Linked DNA regions of Caenorhabditis elegans. The protein of the gene in region 1 interacts with the protein of each later gene in a pairwise test. Each region holds a gene or a part of one and is shown on either strand. Other genes may lie near its edges.

Evidence for each region. The genes of interacting proteins can lie anywhere in the genome.
Region 2: the proteins of mxt-1 (region 1) and F44A2.5 interact in a two-hybrid assay, tested with the Caenorhabditis elegans proteins (2 studies listed by BioGRID).

Annotation. Positions count from the first base shown.
Region 1 is NC_003279.8:12,841,461-12,848,476, reverse strand, and holds the start of mxt-1 (Eukaryotic translation initiation factor 4E-binding protein Mextli homolog), read right to left. Parts: upstream 4,209-7,016; 5' UTR 3,850-4,208; coding exon 3,768-3,849; intron 660-3,767; coding exon 522-659; intron 354-521; coding exon 186-353; intron 110-185; coding exon 1-109. Other genes in the region: ptr-17 (SSD domain-containing protein), read right to left, coding at 5,244-5,344, 5,778-5,999, 6,228-6,341, 6,404-6,463, 6,577-6,695. UniProt on the Caenorhabditis elegans protein: Plays a role in promoting translation.
Region 2 is NC_003283.11:9,294,642-9,303,512, forward strand, and holds F44A2.5 (MIF4G domain-containing protein), read left to right. Parts: upstream 1-2,990; 5' UTR 2,991-3,231; coding exon 3,232-3,246; intron 3,247-4,923; coding exon 4,924-5,014; intron 5,015-5,247; coding exon 5,248-5,382; intron 5,383-5,533; coding exon of another isoform or gene 5,534-5,544; coding exon 5,545-5,696; intron 5,697-5,766; coding exon 5,767-5,874; intron 5,875-5,922; coding exon 5,923-6,162; intron 6,163-6,207; coding exon 6,208-6,509; intron 6,510-7,035; coding exon 7,036-7,165; 3' UTR 7,166-7,556; intron 7,557-7,605; 3' UTR 7,606-7,653; intron 7,654-7,692; 3' UTR 7,693-7,855; downstream 7,856-8,871. Other genes in the region: nhr-39 (Nuclear Hormone Receptor family), read left to right, coding at 8,685-8,765, 8,811-8,871.

The sequences.
Region 1 (7,016 bases):
ATTGGCGGTTGAGGTGACGATGGGACAGGTGACGTCACTGATGACGTCACTTGTGTTGGTGGTGACGTGGCAGACGGTGGAATGCCGACAGTTGGAGCTGGATCATGTTCTGGAACACACGAAGGTTTTTTAATAGTTTGTAGTTTGTGGCGTGTAGTTTTCTAGTTTGTAGTTTGTAGTCTTACGTCCTTCCGGCCTGTTGACATAATATTGGCTGTGTGCCAAGTTTGTTCTCCAATTCATTGCCCGTAATTCGACAAGTTCCATAATTTTCAATCGACACGGTGTCCCAAGTTGTCCATTATCTCGACAGCATGCTTGACGTAATGATGTGAAAACTTTATTTAATTCATCTGCAAAAATTTTTTAAATTGAAATTATTATAGTTTTAAAACTTTGGAAAAAATGTTCAAAAATGATCAAAAAAAATTTTTTTTTTGAATTTTTTCTGCAATTTTCACTTATTCACTTATAGAGCTTTGATGGCCTGACTTTCCGAAAAAAAAAATTAGGCCACTCACTTTTATGTGATTGTTCCAGCATCGAACCCGAAGTTTTGAGTTGAGCACAAAGTGTGAAGATCGTGTTTGCGAGTTGTGAAGTGAATTGGCTCGCACGTACCATATTGTTGATTGTGTTCATTAGCTGTAGTTGTTGGTCTGGAAAAAGTTTGGAGAGTTTTGGATTTTTGGAAAAAAAATTTCTGAAAAAAAAATGTTTTTTTGGAATTTTTTTTTGGAAAGTAATTTTTTTTTAAACTTGGATAGTTAAAAAAAACATTGTATTTTTCTAAAAAAAATTACATTTAATTTTCCGTTTTTATATTACTATTTTCAAATAAACGTTAACAATTCAGATTTAATAATTGATTTTAAAACAATTTGGTACTTGTGTATTATTTCCCCTCATTTTTAAATATAATTTTTTAAATAAAAACGTGTGGAGTTTTTGTATTTTTAGTCTTAGCAAATAACCATTTCTAAGCCTAAGAAGGGAAACTGGACATCACGCTATATTAAAATGGATAATAATAAAACGAGGGGAAATAATACACAAGTACCAAAAATTTAAAAACATTTCAGAACTTTTCAATATTCACTTTTAGTTTGAAAAGTTTTTCTTTACTTTTAATCATATTTTAAAATAAATTGATTGTGCAAATTTTTTAACTATAAAGTTTTTAAAATTTCAGTATTTAAGCTGAATTAATTTGACATTTCTAGCTAATTTGAATAAATACTGGATTTTTAAAATAAAATTTACTTTTGAAAATTAAACAAATATTTAAAGTATGTAGTATGTGGTGTGTTTTTTGTTCGCATAGATTTGAAAATAAATCAAATAAATAATTTAAAAAGTATATTATTTAATTTTCAAATAGCAATATCAATTTTGGTATTTTATTTTGATTTTAAAAAATTCGGCACAAAAATTTTTGAAGATTTTTTTAACGCTGAAATGATTGATAGATTTTTTCTGTTGAAAAAAAAATTTAAAAAAACCAAAAAATGTCGATTTTTAATTTTTAATCAATTTTTGTGGATTCTGAACTGTATTTTACTTAAAACAATTTTTTTTAACTTGAAAATTGAAATCATTACTGAAAACTGAACAAAATACTGAAATTTTTCTGAATAATATTTTTTTTCAAATTAAATATTTTCAAATTCCCAACTCCAAACCCCTTACCTTTTTACCTCTAAAAGTTCACGAAAAGTCTCAAAAATCTCTCATTTCTCCAAAAACAAATAAATGTCTTCTCCCCCCACTTAATCCTTATCAATTTTATATCAAAAATACACGAATGAACTCTTTAACATTGTCTGCGTCTTTTCATTTCTAACAATTTCTCCTTTGTCGGCTTCTGTACAATGTTAAGTGGCGGCTCGGCGAGCCGCTTTTCAGGTATTTGCTGATCGACTTTGTAACGATGGAGGGGGAGGAAAATTGGGTTAAACATGGGTTGATTTAGATGGAAATAAATGAACTAATATTATTTTTTGATTAGTTGAGTTTTTGGCTATAAACTACAAAGTTACCTAGCACGAGGGCTTAGGCTTAGGCTTAGCCTCAGGCTTAGGTTCAGGCTTAGGCTTAAGCTTAAGCTTAGGCATAGGCTTAAGCTTAGACCTAGGCTCAGGTTTAGGCTTTGGCTTAAGCTGAAGCTTGGGCTCAGGCTTAGGCTTAGTCTTAGGCTTAGGCCTAGTCTTAGGCTTAAGCCTTATGCTGGGCTGCGGGATGGCTATTCCAGCTGATAAAACAAAAAAACTTTTCTTCTAAAAATGGATAAATCAAAAAACGGAATTTTTGGATTCATGAGAATTCTGAAAACATTGAAAAACCCGCACCCATGGCTTCAACTCTATAGTTTTTGGTTCAGTCTATCAAACTACAAACTACAAAGCTTCATAGCCTCACCCAACATATTTTCGGTTGAGGTCATTTTTTGTAGTTATAAACTCTTGTAGAATTCCCTTCCTCTACTTTCACAATCAGTATTTTACCAGAAACTTGTCGTTTTGACGAGCTAAGATGATATATGAGCTGAACGGGTGAATATGTGAGAGAGTATGTGGGATGAATAAACGCAGAGAAAGAGAAGAGCACCCGGGAGAAAAGAAAAAGTGTGTAAAAATCGAGTGCAGCTGTGAGAGAAATCTGAGTTTACGAACTGCAAAAACGCTTATGAAATCAGAAATAATCTATAAAATTGGGAACAAACTGAGGGACTACAAACTACAAAAGGGTTTCCAAAATCCCTTGATTTACCTCTAGAAAATTCTTTGAAAAATATTAACTGTATGCAAACTGGTCATACAATTTGGAGCTGAATATTTAGCTTTTAAAATTTTTAAATAATAAACAGTTTTTTTAAAATAAGTTGCACAAAAATTCAGGTTTCGCAATTTTTTATTGCAAACATTTCACAAAAAATCAGATCAGAATATTATCAGAATATTATATATTTATATTATTATTATTATATTATATAATGCCGTAATTTTTTTCAAAAAAAATCGGGCTTAACAAATTGTACATTTATTTTGAAGCTAAAATTTTTATTGTTATCGAAAAATTAAAATTATTTTTTCTAGTTTCACTATCAGTTGAAAAAAAATTCAATTCAAAACTTCCAAAAAATTATTTTTAAAAAATTAAAAAATTTCAAAATCTCATAACTTCTTCCAAAATTACCCAATTTGTACAATTACTATGTTATTTTGAAGCAAAATATTTGTTTTTTATAAAAACATTTTAATTTTATAGGAAAAATACAAAAACCAAAAAAAAAACCAGATTCACAATTAAAAAAAAAACATTTTTTTCGAGATTTCTTAAATTTTCAAAATTATCAGATTTTTTTAAATTCAAATTTTTTTATGGAAAACAATTAATTCTTACAGAAAGCTATACTTGCACAAAAAATTTACAAAAAACACATGTTTCAAAATTTTCGAAAACAATTATTTTTTTTCGAAAGTTTTCCAAATTTCAAAATATCATAACTCCTTTCAAAACCAATAGATTTTTCTAATTTTTACTTTATTTTGAAGTTTAATATATATTCTTTTAACTTTAAATTATATTTAGACTAATATATGACAATAAGTCAAAAAAAGTTTCAGTTTCAAAAGTATCAAAAAAAAACATTTTTTTTCGAATTTTTTCCAAACTTAAGTCTCTTCAAACTTGCTTAAATTTTCCAAATTTTAAGTTACTCTGAAGCTCAAACAATTATCTTTTTTATTATTACAAAAATAACTCACCAACACTCAACAAGGTGTTTCGGGGCACCTGAGGCGCGCCCTGCATTTTCCCGCCGCCAAAGTCGTCGTAGTTATGAAGCATGGTTTTTCAGATTTTGGGAATCAAAATCAATTGATTTTGATTTTAATTATTTTTTCAGATTAAAATGACAGTTTCGTGTGCAAGAAAGAATGTGTTGGCTGGTGGCAGGAGATGTTGGTGGACAGTGAAAAAGTAGAAGAAATTTTTTAGGAAATCCGAAAAAAAGTTTTTTAAAAACTTTTTTCAGAAATCCAAAAATCGTTCGTAATTTTTAAAATAAATTCGAAATATCGGCGGGACGTTAGGGGTAACGTTTTTGGGGATGAAAACGTCGTGTAACTGAACAGCACCGCCCGTGTGTTAATATCTTTGTGTTCTCCTGATTTTACACATTCTCTCGGAGATGAGCCACTCAGTTTGGCTCCGCCCATTTTTTGTTCTGTTCCTATCATCTCTGTCTCTTTTTGTTTTCCGTTTTTCTTTACAACAAAATTTGCAATGAGGGAAAGGGAAATTGAATATTAGGGGTATTTTTGAATCATTTTTTGGCACAAAAGACTGTCATTTTATCTGAAATTAATTATCAAAATTCGTTGATTTTGAGTTCCAAAAGACTTTATCGGCGGGGAAAATTAGAAACACTGGTTGGAATGTTTTGTGGTACTGAAAAAAAAGTTTTAAAAAATTGAGCTTCAAAAAAAGTTAAAAAATTTAAATTTTGGACAATTTTGAAAGGAGTTATGCTATTTTGAAAATTTCCAAAACTCGAAAAAAATTTTTTTTGGAGCTTTTGGGATTAGGTTTTTTTTAAAAAAATTTTGTTAATCAGATAATAATTTTGATTTATTATAAGAAAACATATTCAGCTTCAAAATAAATTAAAATTGGAAAAATCTGATAAGTTTAGTAAAAGTTATGAGATTTTGAAAATCGAAAAATCCCAAAAATTGGTTTTTTTTCTTTTCACCTGCAAAGTTACCTGGTTTTTTAAAATTTTGTTTTTATTTTTACGTACTTTACAACACAGTAACTCTTGCTGGAAATCAGTTGCTGAGATACTGTGTATTTTTTGGTTCAGGCTAAGATAGTTTTGTAGTTTGTAGTCTAAGCATCTCTCATCTTGCACCTCAATTTTCCATTTCGGAAAATCATTTCAGACATCATTCAAAACGGTCAGGGAGTTTCGGGTGGCACAAATTTACATAATCATTTACATATAATCAACACATTGTTATTTTTCTCTTTGTCTCTTTTTCTAAAACATATCGGAAAAGAACGAATTCCTAGAGAGACACAGATAACGAGATTGAAATTTGGAACCTGAAATTTGGATATCGAATTGCTTTCAAGTTTTTGTGAATAAAAAATTATTTCAAACCAAAATAAAACATGTATGTACAAACGAAATAAATAAATAAGTTACAAATTGCACAAAAATTGATATTTTATCAATTTCACGGCTCCGTACTAGTCGTGGAAGTTGTCTTAAAGTAGTCAAATACCCTGTGACAGTTCATTAGAAGAAGTGGAAGGAAGACCAATGCGTGGGTGGTACCTGGAATGAATTTAAAGGTTGCTGGCCTAGAAATTCAGATTTTGTGTTTTCTAGGCCACCAGTATGTATGTTAGTTCTTAGGGTTCTAAATTTGGGGTACGGTAGTACTAGCTTCAGCTGTGATTCAAATTTTCAGTAAAGCAGATCATCACAAATTTTGAAATTTTTGAAGTTGCTGGACTAGAAACCAAAAATTTTATAAATTTCTAGGCCACCAAACTATATGTGAACTCCCAGATGTTATGGAGATGTATGAGTAAAGTAGTTTGGTAGAGCTCATTTTCATTACCAAAATTTTTTTTAATTCCAAATTAGGTGGCCTAGAAAATCACATTTAGGATTTTCTAGGCCATCACCCCGCATGTCAGTTCCCAGGCCCCCTAAGACCTCCAAACTTTCTAAGTTCACTAGAGCGAATTTACACAACACTTACCAAATAAAATAACCAATACAACAGTCCTAAAACACGTTTGAACCACATAACTATCCACCAAATACAGCGAAGAAACACCCAAAAGTACGGAAACTGAAGCCTGTGTGACTGGCCAGCCGATTGTACCCAAAGTGTGACAAAATCGTGAATAAATTGCACTTTTTCCCGGAATTTGGGCTCCAGATTCTGTCATGTACGCGTAAGAGACGTGGGCGGCGAAATCTGGAAATTTTTTTAATTTTTTTTTGTAAAATTTTTAGACTTTTGCTCCCCAAGAGCTTTCAAAACAGTAGTGAAGGGTGCAGATTTTCGACGATATAATTGGAGAAGGCTACAAAAATTGGGTAGTTTATTGTTTGTAGTTTGTAGTTTATTGTTTGTAGTTTGTAGTTTATTGTTTGTAGTTAGTAGTTTAAAGTTTGTAGTTTGTAGCTTGTAGCCAAGTCTTACCAACTGAAAATCCGACACTCATTGCTACAGTAATCATTGACGTGGCATCCAGGCTGACACCAAGGAAGGACATGGTTCCGATGACTCCGAATGCGATGGAGGCGATATTTAAGCCTGCGATGTTTGACTACATAGACAACGAAGACTACAAATACTACGAATTCTACAAAACTCACCAATAATAACTGAGCAGAGTGGTTGTGGAATGAAGAGCAGTGCGACCGGAACCATGACAGCTGAAATTAGTATTTTTGTAGTTTTTAGTATTCAAGAATCATACTACAAACTACAAACTATAGTGATAAAAAAATTGTAGTTTGTAGTTTGTAGTTTACAGTTTATGCCTTACCAATAGAAATATAGATATCCTGCATAGTTTGTGGCCACATAATATCATACTCGTCTGCAATATTCCACAACGGAGAATATGTAATAATACTGTAGTTTGCATGTTTTTGGGACAGTTTTCTGCAAAAATATTTTGGTTGAGGCTCACACAGGCAAAGCGGGTACGGTCCGTTTACGGATCTTGGACCGGGAACGGACCATTAACGGGCGAACTACGGATATGAAAAGCGGGACGGACCAATTACGGGCAAACTACGGGGAATGTAAAAAATGGCCATTAAGAGGAAAAAATGGATTTTAAGAAAACAATTTTTTTTTAAATACCTATGATACCAGTTGGCTAATTCAAGAATTTTTACGTCGTTAAATGCATTATTTAGAGCAAAAACCACATTTACCGACCGAGATGGCTCTTGAGCCGTAGTTGGGCCGTTTCCGGTC
Region 2 (8,871 bases), on another chromosome or scaffold:
TCAAAGCCGCACTGCATTTCAAAAACACCTGTCGTGTCGAGACCTGGATAATATGAATAAAACTTTTCATTAATTATGAAATATTTTGAATTAATACCCGAACAAATGTATGAGTCATAATCGCAATTATTATCTAACACAAACTGGATCCGTGTTTGCCTTCCATGGAAGCTTCCAGTCTGATATTATCAATTGCCAGAAATTGATGCTTCTTAACGTTTTCAGTCACGAAAAATTTGTGAAACCAGAGAAAGGATTTTTCATATTATTTTAAAATTTTACCTTTCTAGATCCTTCCTTCAAATTCACTTTCTGTTAGCTTCTCCAAAACGAATCTTTACACCTTGAGCTTTGGAGAAACCGAACGTATGTAGACATCAAATATCAAGTAACTATCATAGGAAAAAGAGAATTTCGACGATTCGGCGACAAATATATTTTCGGATTCAGATTTGATATCACTTCCAACATATGCAAACCCAACTGAAAAATAAAGTAAAAAAGTTGGATGATTAGAATTTTAAATTTAAACTTTAGATTGATCATCCAGGTTAACTCTCTGAATTCATGTATACATAAATGTCTATTTCCAACGGGACGATCATTGAGACTCCATGCATAAATATTCTAAAAAAGTAATTTGATACAGATAGGTTCAGAGAAAAGTTTTCTTTGAATACAATTTCAGAATGGTGTCTCGGTCCCTAATGTTTTTTTGCGTGGCGAGATCTGGATTAATGTTTGTATGAACTCTAATTAAAGACTAAACATAAAACTTTGGTAATTTTCGAACTATGTTCTAAAAAATTAAATTAACAATATAATTTCCAAAAAAAACTTCAAAATTGCGAAAAAATTTTTTCAGCTGAGCTTTTGGTCATTGGTACACAATGTATGTACTACACATTAAGAAAACAATCAAGCTCGCATGAACAGAAAATCACTTCTCCCTAAAAACAAACAAGGAAAAGTTAACAAAAAGAGTTGAGAACGAGGATCTCATAATCTTTTTCTCAAACTAGGCGAACTGTGTGTAATCCTCTGAAATGTGTGTGTAATTCTACCTCCGCTCTCTTCTCGAAAACCACAATCATAAATTGTTGACCATCGAACTTTTAGAGAGTATGTTGAAGTGATAGAGACACAGAAATAGCTCCGATGGTGTTCCGCTGAGAATTTTCTAATTTCTATCATCAAATCATCATCATCTTTGCCACACACACACACACAAACACAGCTAAGAGCACATATTTCAACGTGTTTTACACCGAGAATGTATGTCTGCGTATCTTAAGAATCGTCCTTCTCTTAATAATTGGAAACGAGCTTCACATCACATTCAAAGACCAGCCGGGACCCTTCAAAATATAGTTTTCATGTTCCTGCTTTTTCAAACTTTTCAATTTTTTAAATTTTCAAGGTCCTCCATGTTTCATCCTGAACCTTCTTATGACACTTCTGTTGTATCTGATGGATGGTGCTACCCTGCTCACACACCTGGCAGTATTCCAGAGATAAATAGAAATATAGAAGAGAATCAGAAGAGAGAAACACAGACAAAAATCATGTGTGTTAAAAATATATATTATCATGTTCTGTTCCATCTTTATTTTCTCTTTTCCAATTCACCGCCCCCCTGCTCTTATCCGTTCGTTCGCAAACAATGATGATGTTTTGCTGTGCTTTTCTGAGCAGTTTTGCTCCCACGCTGTATTGGTCTACTAATTATAATAGGGTTTCTTAACAGATAACTGTTATTTTTATCGTTTGGGGCATTATTTCTATAATTTACTCCAAGCCTTTGTTACACACAGTAGACCTTTTTAACACTAACACTTTAAAAAATTTGAAAAAATCGGCCTTCGTAGAAAATCGTAAATACTTATCATTGGCGAAAAAATAAAGAGAAAGCTATAGCAATTTGTTTGTTTTCAGACTCTTTATACAAAAATTAGAGTAAGAATACTACTTTTTCAATTTTGCCCTTTTTTTTAATTATTCCAAAATCATCATTAACAAATATAACATGACAAATATAACATTGCTTGTTAGATGTTTTCGTTTTAAAGACTAAATAGTTTTTTTTTTCAATTTTAATCTCCATATTATAATCTAAAATCCATTTAGATATTATACTAATTTTTGGGCAATTATTTCCGTTCTACCTTTATTTGTCTTGAAATCAATACATGATTGATAGCATGATAACAATATGTGATAATCTCATCCTTCCAATTTTGCATAGACTCAGAAATTCAGTTTCACAATTTACTGCATATTGATCTTCCATTCCCATCACACATGCCTTCAACGTGATTCATTCAACAGAAAACTGTCCGATCGTCGAACATTAACCATCATCACTACTGTTCATTCCTTGTCCCCGTTTCAAAATTGCTCATTCCTTCCCACCCGTGCTTTTCCTTCCCTATTCCATCATCTGAATCTCTATACTTCGAGTGCTCTCTAGTATTTCTTTTGCTCTCGCGCGCGCGCTCGTCGCCACCATCACACTGACAACGACTTAACATTGTTTTGTACACGGATTATCAAGTGGTTTCCGAGAGAGATAGTGACTACGACCACAGACGATTCGAGACGGTATGACGGAATTGCCTGCTTGTCCTGATCGCCCTCTTGCACTTTTCGAACCATTTTGGTCTAGAAATTTGAACGAATAAACATTCAATGGAAGGAAAAGTGTGATAAGAACAATCCACTTGACTGTGAACAAGTGAAAAAAAAAGGATTCCGTATGACCAAAAGCCAACTGACTAAACTCATGAAACAACTACAGTGCATCTTTTTTCTATTTTCTTATCATGTTTTAATCGTTGCTCTTTCTCGTTTTCTCTTTCTATCTATAAATCTATTTATCTACAATATCTTTTCATTTTTCCCATCTCAAAATATTTATTTATTCTGTTCGTTCGTTTATATCAGTTGCAAATAATCAATCAATAATATTAATATATTTCCGTTTTTTGCAGGCGAGGCGACTTTTTTGTGTTTTCCCAATAGTGTGACGAACAGTGCACACGATTCAACGTCAGTTCTTGATCGAGGCTTTCAATCGATTACTCCCCAAAATTCAACGACCAAATTCTTTCTTTATTTTTTTTAAATATTCATTTCCCCAATTTCATTCTGCCGCATCAAGTGCAGAAGAAAATAATCATCGATCAGTGGAACTCTGAACAAGAACTCTGACGACAAAAAGAAGTAAAAGATATGGAAACTCTTCAGGTTCGTTTTTTTCTTTCTTTTCTTCTAACACCTGTCTGTTTTCCGTCTTTTAGAAATAAGAAAACTAGTCAATAAAAGTATCAGGTAAAAATGATTGGGATCAGGCTTGTGCGGCTAATTTGCCGAATTTGCCGTTTGCCAAGCTCGTCAAGTTTGGGATCTTGAAACGTAAATCTAGTGCTAGGACCTTTGTGTTTTTATAGACTATAATTTAACTAGAAAAATATGGAACAAAAACGAAAAAATTCAACTTGTTTAATTCATTTAATTAGTATCAAAAATAGTATACCTTCGAAAGTTTAATATAATTTTTCATTAAACGGCATTTGTTCAATCATTAAAAATATATTATCCTCGCAGTTCTTTTTGTCAGTGTTAGTTTATCTAATAGGAGAATTCAATATTTCGGAAAATCTCGAATCTACATACAATTCATTTTTGGAAATCACCATTAGGGGGAAATTGTGGAAACATGATTTTAAGTTTTAGACCCGCGTTATTTTTTAAATAAACATTATTGAAAGTTCTGAAAAACTTCATGATCAAAATTAAACATTTATGAGTCAAATTAATATTATTTTTTAAAGCCTCTGATTGTGAATCTTGTACCACATGTCGTTTCTGAAGTTCACTAATAGTAAGAGTTGCTCATTCCTTGTACTTTCATATAAAAAATAACAAAACATTAGTAAAAGATAAAACTAATTATCTTAACCTTCAGTTTTTAAAATTCTAAAATTTCAAATTGGCGTGTAACGGGGGAAAAGACATTCTCGATATTATGTTCTGATAGACGCAAAGGCCACAGATGGCCGCATTTTACAAAATTATTACGAAATTCGGTTTTTTGGCTACTCGAAATAATTTAAGTAAAAGAACCAGAAACGATGCCCCTTAATGTTTCTATTTAGCTAAATAAGTCTGTCGAATCTAGCTTTGTCTTGAAAAATATTTTATTGCAATTTGCAATCTTGTAAATTTTAAAAACAAACGCGCAGTGATCTTTTGAGCAGCAAACTTTACAATGAAACGTGCAAATGATTAATTAGATACATGAAGTTTGTGTGTAACATCAAAAGAATGCGAAACAAGACAGAGAGCACAATTTTCATTCTTTAGAGCTGCGGTGGTGGCTCTTACCTTTACTCTCACCTTACGAGCCCTTAGAAGTGCTAATTCTGGCATCCCAAACAAACCAAACACCGATGTTTCGGCACTTAATCAACTACAAAACTCTTACTTCATTGTGTGCCACTCCCAATCACACAATCACTCAAATCCTCACTTTTTCTTCATTCTTTTCACAAGTTGTCGTCTCTTAATCCATATTATCGATCATTGTTTCTTTTCTCCGCTCGAGACCGCGTATCTGATAACCGCATCCCTGTTCATAGTGTGCTGTCTGAATAGAGGATTGAGAGAAATGAGATGAGTGTGGTGCCAGAGCGGTTAACTGCAAAGTGTCCCATCATCACTTTTTCTTTCCGTTGATTCGTATTCTGTTATTCAAAAGTTCAGAATCATTGTCTCCTTTCTAGCCCTCTCTCATTCTCTTCCTCTCAAAATCAAAATCATTTGTGGAAAAGTGAATTAGCATAAACCATTGCCACTAGTCGCATTCCCCTGGACGCTACTATCAATTTTCGTGATTTCCTATAACTTTTCTACACGTTTCAGACTGAGAATCAGCTCATTGGAGAGCTGAAAGCACCAGCTACCACAAAAAAGCCCACCAACAGACCCGCCATGCAAATTTACCGTCCACCTGGTAAGTGACTTTACATTACTATTTGAACTGAATCTGTAAAGAGTTTGTAGAGTTTTTTAATTTTGGAAAAGTATAACTAGGTATCCCTAAATGTAAAATAAAATACATACGCTTATAAGACAGGATAGACGAGTAGGAATTTTAGATAGGCGAGTAGGAATTTTCGTGTCAGCATGGACTTGTTAATAAAAATTTTAACATCATCAATATAATTTTTAACGATATTCCCTTAGGACTTCGATCCGACGGTTCGTCCTCAACAACGGCCGTCACGACAACATCGTCAACGAAACCGAAGCCGGCAGCCGGTCAAAAGCTGTCCTCCAGCGAATGTGACACAAATGTCAATTCACAGATTTTGAAAGAAGGTGAGGAAATAATAATTTTAGTGTCGGCTATCGGTTAAGTGTTTCCAGATGTTAAACTTTTACAAGGGAAAATTTTTTGTCCCTTCTAATTTTAACTTCTTAATTTAAAACTTGAACAGATTGAATCGTTATTCCCAAATTAAACTCACAGACAATTTTCAGAAAATAATAATAAGAAAGATTGCGGCGAGTCGACGAGTTCACGTGCCAGCTCGCGCGCTTCCAACCATGTCTCGTCTGATGATCGGCACTCGAACGGAAGTTTGAAACGAACTGAAAGTTCATTAAGTTCCGAATCGACCCCCTCGTCACAGGTGAGTCTTGCAAACAACACAAAAAGCCTTGTTGGCACCTATATGACAAATAAAACGAACAAAAGTTTAGAAATCATACGGCTCTAACTCGAATAAGCTGAATGGCCAACACGTTAGCGGAGGCGCCCATCAGCAGTACAACAAGAGGATCAACAGCTCGAAGAAGGAAAATCAGAAGGTTTGTGTCTTCTTCACTCATTCAAACATAATTATTCCCGTGTTCTAGAAGAAAGTGATGAGCGAACATGAAATTGAAAAGGCTATCACTGAGTTGAGAGCCCTTCAACTACATTCGCATTCAATTCAAATTGAGCAATGGATCGGTGGAGCATTTTGTGATGAAGAACTTGCCGAATGTATTGGATCCGCTTTATGCCGTCATGCAATTGAAGGAGGTGGAGGTAGTGGAGTCGGAAAATTGTGTGCTAACTTTAAGTATGCACCATCCATTGGTTCCTTTGTCAAGGTGAGGATTTTTCTATCTCAAAAAAACATTATTTTATTAATTAAGGGACTAATCATCGCCCTCTCCCAATACTTGGAATGCAGGCATAAGATTCGCGAAGATCATTTCCGAATGTGGATTTCATTTATTCAATTCCTCACGGAACTCTATTCAAATTTGGGTTCTGATTCAAAAGGAGAACTTGCCACAATTGTGTTTGATGTCTTCAATTATCTTCTCCGTCCACCAATTCTAGAACATGTCAAGATTCAAGAATTGGAATGTCTCATTTCTATTCTTATTAAGGGTGGATACGATTTGGAGAGAGAATGTCCCGATCGGTTGGCACTGCTAAAAGATCTGATCAGGTACTGTAAAAACAATTGTTGGTCCCTTGGAATCGTTAAAGTAGTGACGTCATCATATGCAGAAGTTTGATGGCAAGAACACACTTTGTCAAAGAACCTGATATATAATAACTGAATATGCAAAGCAAAGTTTTCATGGCTATTTGTCTTTGTTTTCGAAACCAATGGTAAAACACGATGTTTTTAAAAGCATTAAATTTCTGATTTGTTTAGTATGTAGATGACAGATTTTTAATAACTAAATTTTTAATACGGTATGAAATGTTATCAACCCTCGGAATTTGAGGGAAACTTTCTGCCAAACTTTGTTTGTCTATATCTGCCTGTAAACGTTGTGGCTTTTTTGCCAGAATCTTGCCGACTGATTTGAGGACATTTTACTAAGTTACCGTGTTGTTGGCAGAAAGTTGTCCCACATACAAGAATCGAAATTTGTATCGTTTGCCTTTTAAGACTTTCGAAGTAAGCGTTATTTTTGAAATTTTCCTTTTTTCAATTTTACTTTTAACTTTATCATTTTTTACAGGGATGCATTCATTGACGTCTCCGAACCATGGGCCCGTAAAATGATTCTCCTTCTCTTGGAACTCGGTGCATCTGGATGGAAACTTCCTACAGATGCCAATGAATATTATTTCAATGAAACTTCAAATTAAGCTCTCTCTTTCATTTTTTTTTCTCTTTCTTTTGTATTTGTATATATTTATTCTCTAGTTGAACCTAGTAATTTCAAAAATTAACAAAACACCTCTAAAACATATTTCTGTCTAACCTTTTGTTCTCTACCGGTTCTCATCATTTTTTGTTACCTTCTTTCTGTTTTAAAGCATAGTTAGCGTTATTTTTTCAAAATGCTCTTCTCTTCTACATCTTTCCTACGTTCAATTCACTTTTTGGGCTTTTTATTCTCCTTTTTAAACCTCACGTGACATTATTTTGCTCTTTTTTTAATTTTAATTATTTTCATTTATACTTTATCATGTGCAACTAAATAAGAAATTTATCAAAATGTGTATCGTGAGAAGACAAATGTTGAAAACTAAGCACGTAAGAGTTTATAGTAATTTGAACTTCCCTTATTCAATCCCTTATTCAGAATCGTAGAGAAAGACCGCTCCCAGTTCAAAACGACACTGAAAAGAAGGTGAGATCACCCAGTTTCTCCCAGTATTGATACTTTCAGATATGTTTATCACCTCCCGGCCAATCACTAATGGATGAAGATGATACAATCAGAAAGCCTAGTGATAAGTCTGAAATAACAACAAAATGAACTGAGTATCTCAATGATCAAAATAAATACATTTAAATAAGAATTTTGACGAAAATAAAAGTGACGATTCCTTTCTGTAGTGTTTGTAGTTTTCTCGAAAAATATCATTTTCAATGTTCAAAGACCGAGAGTTGAATGAAATGAAGGTTTTGGAAAAAGGTAATCCAATTAAAATCTACAAAATTTATTCAATGTCACCGTTTGATTTCTAAGATTTTTGAACAGAGGAACATGTTTCGAAATTTCAACAGAAAAAATTATAAAATTCAGTATTGTAAATAATTCAGAAATTATTGGAATGCATTATAGCGATCTTCTGAGTTTCAATAAATTGGGATATTTGAACCAAATTGAATGAAAGATCCAATTCAGAGTCATTGGCCATTTGCAAATCATCTGGAACAATTTCAACTTGACTAACCAATTTCAGTTGTCATCTGGTTTTTTTTTTCAATATCATATGATGATGTTGCACATTTATCACGCTTGTATTTTCTACTCACGGTGGCGTGAGAAAATCTAGGTTCTACAGCTGGTTTTTGCAATTGTAGAATTTTTGTTTAATGTCATGTTTTTGAAGAGCTTTTTCAAATTGTCTTAGATTCGGTAACTGTTTCAGGTATTAGAGATGCATTAAAATAAGCTTATTATCTTATAAACTCACATCTCGCCATTTTGTTTTAGCAATAAATTCAAAATCAAACATTCGAAAATCAAAGTAGAAATTCCTTCACCACTTTTTTGGTCGTTTGAATTCTCTTGAAACTTTATTACTCATTCGCCTGACAGCTCAAAGCTTAAAGTAGCATGTCTAGAAAATAATTAGCTGTTATATCAATGTTGAGAGTCTTTGCTGTTAATGTTGTTTTCAAGTCATTTTTATCATTTCAGAAGTTTTTGATATGTATTTTCTAGAAGGCCTAGTGGCTCAAGATAAGAAGTGTACAATATGTTCCCGACCAGCATCCACTCGTAATCATGGTGTGAGTTTTCTCACTAATAAAATATTTTGCAATGGGGTTTTATAGGTTCTATCGTGCAGTGCATGTAAAATGTTTTTCGCCAGAACTGTTCAGAATAAACTAAAAT